Linked DNA regions of Ovis aries. The protein of the gene in region 2 interacts with the protein of the main gene of each other region in a pairwise test. Links are inferred from orthologs where the notes say so. Each region holds a gene or a part of one and is shown on either strand. Other genes may lie near its edges.

Region 1 (3,478 bases), on a different chromosome or scaffold from region 2:
ATAATAAAAGATCTCCCCCTTTCCAATCTTGAGTTTTCTTGAGTGCAAACTCCCTTTAATATGATTTAAGGCCCTGGTATTAAGCTAATGCCATTCACTAACAATAACTTGGCCTCTTCATGCCTGGGTTTCCCTGTGTTTAAAATGGGCATAATACCTCCTTGGGTTAATGTATGTAAGACACTTTCTGCAATTGTGCCTAGCCCAGAGGAAGCCATCAGAAGCGCCATTATTTGTGTGAGGGTGAGAGGACACAGCGGTCCTGTATTTGGGAAATGAGGCCCCTTTCCAACCTCACCAGGTGTGTGGGACCCCACCTCACCCCCAATCCTCGTGAATGGGAGCAAAGAGGGCGGTCCAGGTCTCAGGATCTGGGCAGTTCGGGAGCAAGACCGTCCAGGATTGGGGAGGCTCTTCTCTCACTGTTTTGCTCCTGCGGATTTCTGTCTGTGGATGTTTGTTTCTTCCAGTTTTCGCCCCTTCTCTATTTGTACGACTCTCCCTCCCTCCCGCTTCTCGCTCTGAATTTGTCTCTTTGGGGACTGTCTACGTCTCTTTTCAAGCTCTGCCTTCCCACCTCCCCTCCTCTCCTCACCCTGTCTCCCCCGCTCTGTGCATGTCTCCCTGTGTGCGTAGCTCCCCCCGTGTGTGTGTGTGCCCCCATGTTTTTCTCTTTGCGTCCCTCCATTTCTCTCTTGCTCTCGGTTCGCCTCTCCCCGCCCCTGTCGATCAGTGTCGCGCGCGCACGCCCTCTCCGCCTCTGCCCTTGTCAATTCCCCCGGGAGCCCTGCCCCCACCTCCGTCCCGGTTCCCTTCTCCGCGCCTCAGTCTCCAGCCTTGAAAACTGGGCCGACACCCCCACCCCCCACCTCACGCACTCCCCGCGGGGTCGCGACCGCCCGCGGGCCCCGCTCAGGCGAATTCGGGCCGGGATCCAGGCGGAAGGGCTCCGAACTCGGGCCGGCAGTGCTGCGCTGGGGGCGCGCGTCCGGGAAGCGCCCCTCCTCGCCCCGCCCTCCCGGGGCCAACTCCCCTTGGCCCCGCCTCCCCTCTGGTCGAATAAAAGTGGCGGCTCTTCCACTCCACCGCAGCGTGACTTCAGCGCTCCCACTTTCCGTCGGCTCTACATCCTTCGGCCATCTGCGCCGCCATGGATCTCGCCGCCATCTACAAGGTGAGCCCCCCAACCGATCGGCACCCCGACGTCCGCAACACCTGACTCCCTTCTCAAACCAGGGCTTTCTAGGGCCGCAAACAAATTCCTGCCCCGGACCAGCCCTCCCCGCACCGGTTTCCCTTCTCAAACTGGAACTCCTTAGCGCTTCACACCGGCCCGGGGTTCCTGCCTCCCGGATCAGATCAGTGTGATCCTCTGGGGATGAAAATGGAGCCTGTGGCTTTCTGATCTCGGCCCCAACACGAGTGGGGTGGCCCTCGGAGATGGAAAGCTGGAGAACTTTTCTCAGACCGGGGCTGTCTGGAGGCGGAAATGGCCCCCACACCTGGATTACCCGAGTAGTTGCTGAGGGCGCGGTTTTGCGCGGAGGCGTTTCTGGGGCTGGAGTCTCAGGGTGAGCGGGAGCTGACTTCTGTCTCTTCGCTCCCTGCCCCAGAGGATCTTGGAATTCTAAACCCGAAGAGATCCGGACTCCTGGCTTAATTTTGCCCGCTGTTCCACTTGTGAAATTGGAGAAACCGATGAGTGGGGTCAGATCCCGAGAGGCCCAGAGGCTTAAAAAATTGGAGAACAGCAGTCTGTCCTGACTTTAGGGCCCCTCTGATCCAGCCGGGGGAGCCGAGATTAGTGGGTCCCTCGGGATGAGCTTAAATCGCGAATAAACCTCCAAATCGGGATCCCTGAGATCCGGAACCCGAGGTTTGTTTTTTTTTTTTTTTTCCCTTAGGGCGGGTGGGGCTGAGGCCGGGAGCCCACAAACCGGACTGGCAAGCCCTTGGTTGCCCTGCAGCTGGGGCGGGGCGTCACCCTGTATTTTCGGTGTCTTAACCGATCGTTGTTTCCACAGAGCCTCCTGTCGCTGAGCCCTGAACTGCCATCCGACCTCGGAGAGACTGAGTCCAGCACCAGCTGGGCTTCCTCGGGACCCTGGAGCCTCAGCTCATCCGACTCCAGCCTGCCTGAGGCCGCTGCCCGCCTGCCTGGCCGCTCCACCAGCCTGGTGGAGGGTCGCAGCTGCGGCTGGGTGCCCCCACCCCCAGGCTTTGCGCCCCTGGCTCCTCGACCCAGCTCGGAGCTGTCGCCCTCACCCACCTCGCCTACCGCGACTCCCACCACCTCATCCCGCTACAAGACTGAACTATGTCGGACCTTCTCAGAAAGCGGGCGCTGCCGCTATGGGGCCAAGTGCCAGTTTGCCCATGGCCTGGGTGAGCTGCGCCAGCCCAGTCGCCACCCCAAGTATAAGACGGAGCTCTGCCACAAGTTCTACCTCCAGGGTCGCTGCCCCTACGGTTCGCGCTGCCACTTCATCCACAACCCCAGCGAGGACCTGGCTGCCCCCGGCCATCCCCATGTGCTGCGCCAGAGCATCAGTTTCTCAGGGCTGCCCTCGGGCCGCCGAACCTCGCCACCACCAGCAAGCTTAGCAGGCCCTTCCGTGCCCTCATGGTCCTTCTCGCCCTCCAGCTCCCCACCACCGCCACCCGGGGACCTTCCACTTTCACCCTCTGCTTTCTCTGCTGCCCCCGGGACACCTGTGTCCCGAAGGGACCCCACCCCAGCCTGTTGCCCTTCCTGCCGAAGGGCCACCCCCAACAGCGTCTGGGGGCCTGTGGGTGGCCTAGCTCGGAGCCCTTCTGCACACTCCCTGGGATCTGATCCCGACGAATATGCCAGCAGCGGCAGCAGCCTGGGGGGATCCGACTCACCTGTCTTTGAGGCTGGGGTTTTTGGGCCACCTCAGCCACCTGCCGCCCCTCGGCGACTTCCCATCTTCAATCGTATCTCCGTTTCGGAGTGACAAGTGCCTGCCTAGTACAGATCAGCTGGATCTTAAGGGGGGCCATTTTTCTTGTGCGTGGGTTCCACAAGGGGTCCCGGGGCTGTAGGGAACTGAGGGACTCGTAATCATGTAGTTCTCCCCACCTTCCAAAGTGCATTAACTCACTCCCCTGACCCCCGCGCTGGGGCAGGTCCTCAGCGTGCAGGCTGTTTGGGAAGGAGTGTTTTATGGGGTCTTTTAAAAAAAATGTAGCAAGTTTGAGGGAGGTAGTAAGCCTCTTCAACTTCACCCCTGCCCAATGCTGTGAATAATAAGCCCCCAATGCCCTCTTCCAGTTACTTCCTAGATCCTGGGGCTCCAGTGTCGTGATTGGAGCCTCACCTGAAAGGGAATCCTGGTGCTCAAACTTCCCTCCAAAAGCAAGTAGCCAAAGCCATTGCCAACGCCCGGCTCTCCCACCCCCGCCTTTGGGCCCTTTATTTATGACGACTTTATTTATTCTAATAGATTTTATAGTA
Region 2 (4,229 bases):
AGGAAAACTTTAAAGCTTCCTCTTCTGCTACTTTGGGATAGTATTACAAATACGGTGGTTTGCTTGGTTTGTTTTCTAAGATTTCTCGACTGTGTAATTCTTCCCGACTTTTATCTTCACTTTCTTCTCTTATCTCTCTTGTCCCTTTCCTGATTAAATTTTATTTCACTCCTGGCAGTTTTTCTTTAGGGTAGGCTGTGCCTTAGAATGGTGCCTTGGGAAGTCAGTTTTGAAGGTTCACAGGAGTTAGTTTGCTCTTGCCCTTTAAAACCCTTCAGTTACAGCTACTGCTACTAATAGGCTTGGAGAGTTAGTAAATATCCTGAAGTTCTCTTCTCAGGTTCATCAGATGTTGCCCCATTTTTTTCCTTTTCCTCTTGCAGAGATGCCAATATCAACAGGGTCTAGAGGTTATTGGTAGTCTGTCCCCACCTATTTTATCTTGGAATTCTTGTGTCCCACGGTTTTCTTGCAATTGTTTTATCAATTTAAATTTTGCAACCTAGTATCTGTTTCTAAATAAGTATCTGTTTTTAAATAAGTTTTCAGAGAAACCAAAAACTATGCCCTGTCATTACTACCATCATTTTACTAGAACCCACTCCTCCATCCGATCCCTTCCCCCAAGGACTAGCTTTTGAACTACTGTGACTTACTTAGCACTACCATCTTTTAAGTACTGCTTGAGAGAGTAGCTGGTGATTGCTTTTTGAAAGACATCACTTTGATGAACAAAGTTTTAAACCTATTATTAGTGATTCATATCATAAAATTGCCTGAGAGCCATTATTTTTGTTCAGCAAGAAAATTTCTCAAGATGGAGAAAATCCAAGATCCTTACATCAAACCAAATTCTTTGCCAAAGAGTAGGGAGGTAAAATAATACTGAACAGATTGTGTATTATCAAGTTAGTCTGAATGTCTTAATTTAGAGAGAAAGAGACTGATACATGGCAGGTACTCAAATGTTTGTTGAGTGAAGGATCCAGGAAAAACCTAAGTTAGTTGTCACTATTTTCATCCTCTTCTCTGAAAGAAATGTTTTCCTAACTCAAACTATGTTTCAGATAAATTAAAGACAAACTACCATTCTGCAAGTTTTGGTAAGCTTTTCCTCATATACCAAATCTGATAGGACTCCAACAACAAAGAATACCTCCGGGAAGTTTAACCCTACCTTCCCACTTTTAGTACTTTTTAAAAAGAATAAACCATAATTTAAGAGACAGCATGACGGTGTTCCGGAGAAGGTAATGGCACCCCACTCCAATACTCTTGCCTGGAAAATCCCATGGACGGAGAAGCCTGGTAGGCTGCCGTACATGGGGTCGCTAACAGTCGGCCAGGACTCAGGGACTTCACTTTCACTTTTCACTGTCATGCATTGAAGGAAATGGGAACCCACTGCAGTGTTCTTGCCTGGAAAATCCCGGGGAGCCTGGTGGGCTGCTGTCTACGGGGTCGCACAGAGTCGGACACGACTGAAGTGATTTAGCAGCAGCAACAGCAGCAGCATGATGGTGTTCACTGGATTATTTCCCCTCATATTAAACAATGCTATCATCACAACTAAGTCAATTAGCTATAAAAATTTAAAAAATAATTTTTCCCCTGTAAAATATAAAATGGACAAGAGATCTACCAAAACCATTAAATAAACACAAGCAACAAACACTAGTCCCAAATTCTAGTTTATCTAATATACTGTTGTCGTTCAGTTGCTAAGTCGTGTCGGAATCTTTGCCCGTCTACTGCAACACGCCAGGCTTTCCTGTCCTTCACTATCTCCCGGAGTTTGCTGGCTTACTATTTTTTGCCACAGTTCCAATACATGAACTACATTTTTGAAACGTGCACATAAACTCTGCCCTGGGGTCATTATATACCGAATATGACGATTACAAGTATTATTGCTCTTACAATCTGTTCCTCTCTCCTTTCTCCCCCCTTCTTTTCTTCCTCTCCCCCCACCTTTCTCTAGCACACATACACGCACAATGAAGCCTTCAAATAAGTGCCCTGGTCCCGTCCAAATATATTTTTATTTCTTTCGGAACGGGGGATTGGTACGGTTCTTGGGGTAGTAGAAAAAAATGTACAGAAAGGCATCATAAATATGAACCATCAGCCACGTCAGAAAGTCTAGGCGTTGGGGGTGGGGCGGGATGCAGCTCGAGATAAGAGGAAGTAAACAGGGGTATTCAGCGGCTGAGGCCGGTAGTAATGTTCGTAGGTGGGTCTGCTGCAGGCTCTGGGTGAGGACCCGGGGGAGGCCCTAGGAGAACATCCACTCCGCTTCGAAACCTCTAGAAAGAAAAACGAAACCTGCAACTTCCTGGGAAGGAAGGGGAAGCACTCCCGAGAGCGTTGCTCCCCCGGACTTGATGTCGGAGTCACGTAGGCCCTGCCCCGGCAGGAGCTGTCAGAACCGCCGCATCCCCGCGGCTCTGCCCACAGGAGGGCGACCTGCGCGTTCGCTCCCACTCAGATCACCAGGGTGTCCTCAAACGTCCTGCTCCCCTCCCTTCGCCGCTCAGCCAGCTGACGACGAGCAGCAGGAGGCGGCTGGGAGCCCAGGTGCTAGGGTGGAGAAGGCCGCCGAGCCCCGGCTCCTCCGCCTTCTCGGCCGCTGCCCCCGTGGTCACCCACCTGATGCTCCTTCACCACTTCGCTGAGGCAGGGATATCGCTCCGAGATCCATCGGTAAAACTTGGGGACTCCCATTTCGGCCGTCAATATTAACTCCAGTCAGGGCCCAACAGAAACCAAACGCCCCGCCGGGGCCTACGCAGCCGCCTCCGGCCGTCGCTCCGCGGATGACAACACACCGCCCGCCCGACCATAGAGAGCGGCCGCCGGGCCTAGAGCGGCCGGCTCCGAGGCCGCATCCCCGGGGCGGGGCTCTAGTCCCAGCCGAAAGGCCCGCCGCCGAGCTTCCTGGTGGGTTACACGGAGGAAACCCAAGGCGTATTTGAATGCGCGTGTGAAATTCAATTCTGAAAATGTCAGTTGATGGAGCCGTGCTCTATCAGTGGATTTGGAAGTGGTGTGGAAACCCCATGAGACGACTGTAAGAATCCTGGCTGTCTCTGTCTCCTGGGATTACAAATCTCAGTGGTTTTCAACACGAATTTATAAAGGTCTGATGATTTATTTGGTTTACTTTGTGAGTGGAAATTTTTCGAGGTTACCACAGTTTCTTTTCAAAACTTTCTTTTTCCAGATTACTTGCTTAAAATAATTTCCTAACACCCCTCCATCCAGCTTACTCTACAACTGTTTACATTATGACTTTCCTTGAATAGGAAAGTATATGTTTAGTTTTCACATTTATACCTCTTGGGTTACCCCCATCACACTTAAACTGTACAAAAGGCAGAATTCTGTAAGGTGAACTTAAGCGAAATTACCTGTTATAAAAAGTTTTCCATTTATTTGCATATAATCTCATTGCTTTGTAATTACTATCAATTATTTTAAATCTTCTGTAATAAAACATACCCCCAAATTTATTATTAAAACTGTTTAGATTTTAAAACCTCATGAAATGTTACGTACTGCTTTCCCCTCAAACTACAGGATTCTGCATTCTGGCACACTTTTAGTATGGTAGCATCTTTAAAATTGCAGAATATTTATATAGTTTTCATATTCATGCTAATTGGCTAACTTTTCTCTCCCTATCATATTTTCAACCATACCAAAAAAAAGAGAGTTTTACTAAGTGAACTTAATAATGTGCTGTTTATGTTGTACATCTCTCTTACTAGACAATTCCCAGATGGCAGGGCAACTATTGTTAGCTTTGTGCACAAATATAGCACAGTGTTAACATAAAGAGTATTTATTCAATATAATTTTTTTGTTCAAATGAATCCTTATGCTAGCACTTACAATCAGTGAAAATTGTGAAATGAAATTAGGCTGGCTTGTTTTTTGCAAATATCTTTTTAAAGCATAAAAACATACAATATTCCATTTCTCCAGTTATAATACACAGTATATATTAAGAAAACTGTTTATTTCATAATAACATATATTATTTTAAATATTATTAACAATCAGAGAGAAATACCAGTTACTCTGAGAATATAAACATATGTTGTACTTTGGAATTGAATAGATACAACCACAGATTAATGCACCAAATGCATTAAATTTAGATTATTAACATATTGTTTAAAGTAATTCTATTTTACATATATGGGGTCCAACCAAGGTACATCTGG

The links. The genes of interacting proteins can lie anywhere in the genome.
Region 1: the proteins of XRN1 (region 2) and ZFP36 interact in a two-hybrid assay, tested with the Homo sapiens proteins (2 studies listed by BioGRID). The link is inferred for Ovis aries from reciprocal best matches to the Homo sapiens genes XRN1 and ZFP36.

What each region holds. Positions count from the first base shown.
Region 1 is NC_056067.1:48,457,739-48,461,216, forward strand, and holds ZFP36 (mRNA decay activator protein ZFP36), read left to right. Parts: upstream 1-1,150; coding exon 1,151-1,174; intron 1,175-2,024; coding exon 2,025-2,978; downstream 2,979-3,478. UniProt on the Homo sapiens protein: Zinc-finger RNA-binding protein that destabilizes several cytoplasmic AU-rich element (ARE)-containing mRNA transcripts by promoting their poly(A) tail removal or deadenylation, and hence provide a mechanism for attenuating protein synthesis.
Region 2 is NC_056054.1:247,184,932-247,189,160, reverse strand, and holds the start of XRN1 (5'-3' exoribonuclease 1), read right to left. Parts: upstream 2,801-4,229; 5' UTR 2,725-2,800; coding exon 2,650-2,724; exon of another isoform or gene 2,190-2,649; intron 1-2,189. Other genes in the region: serine/threonine-protein kinase ATR, read right to left, coding at 4,196-4,229. UniProt on the Homo sapiens protein: Major 5'-3' exoribonuclease involved in mRNA decay. Required for the 5'-3'-processing of the G4 tetraplex-containing DNA and RNA substrates. The kinetic of hydrolysis is faster for G4 RNA tetraplex than for G4 DNA tetraplex and monomeric RNA tetraplex.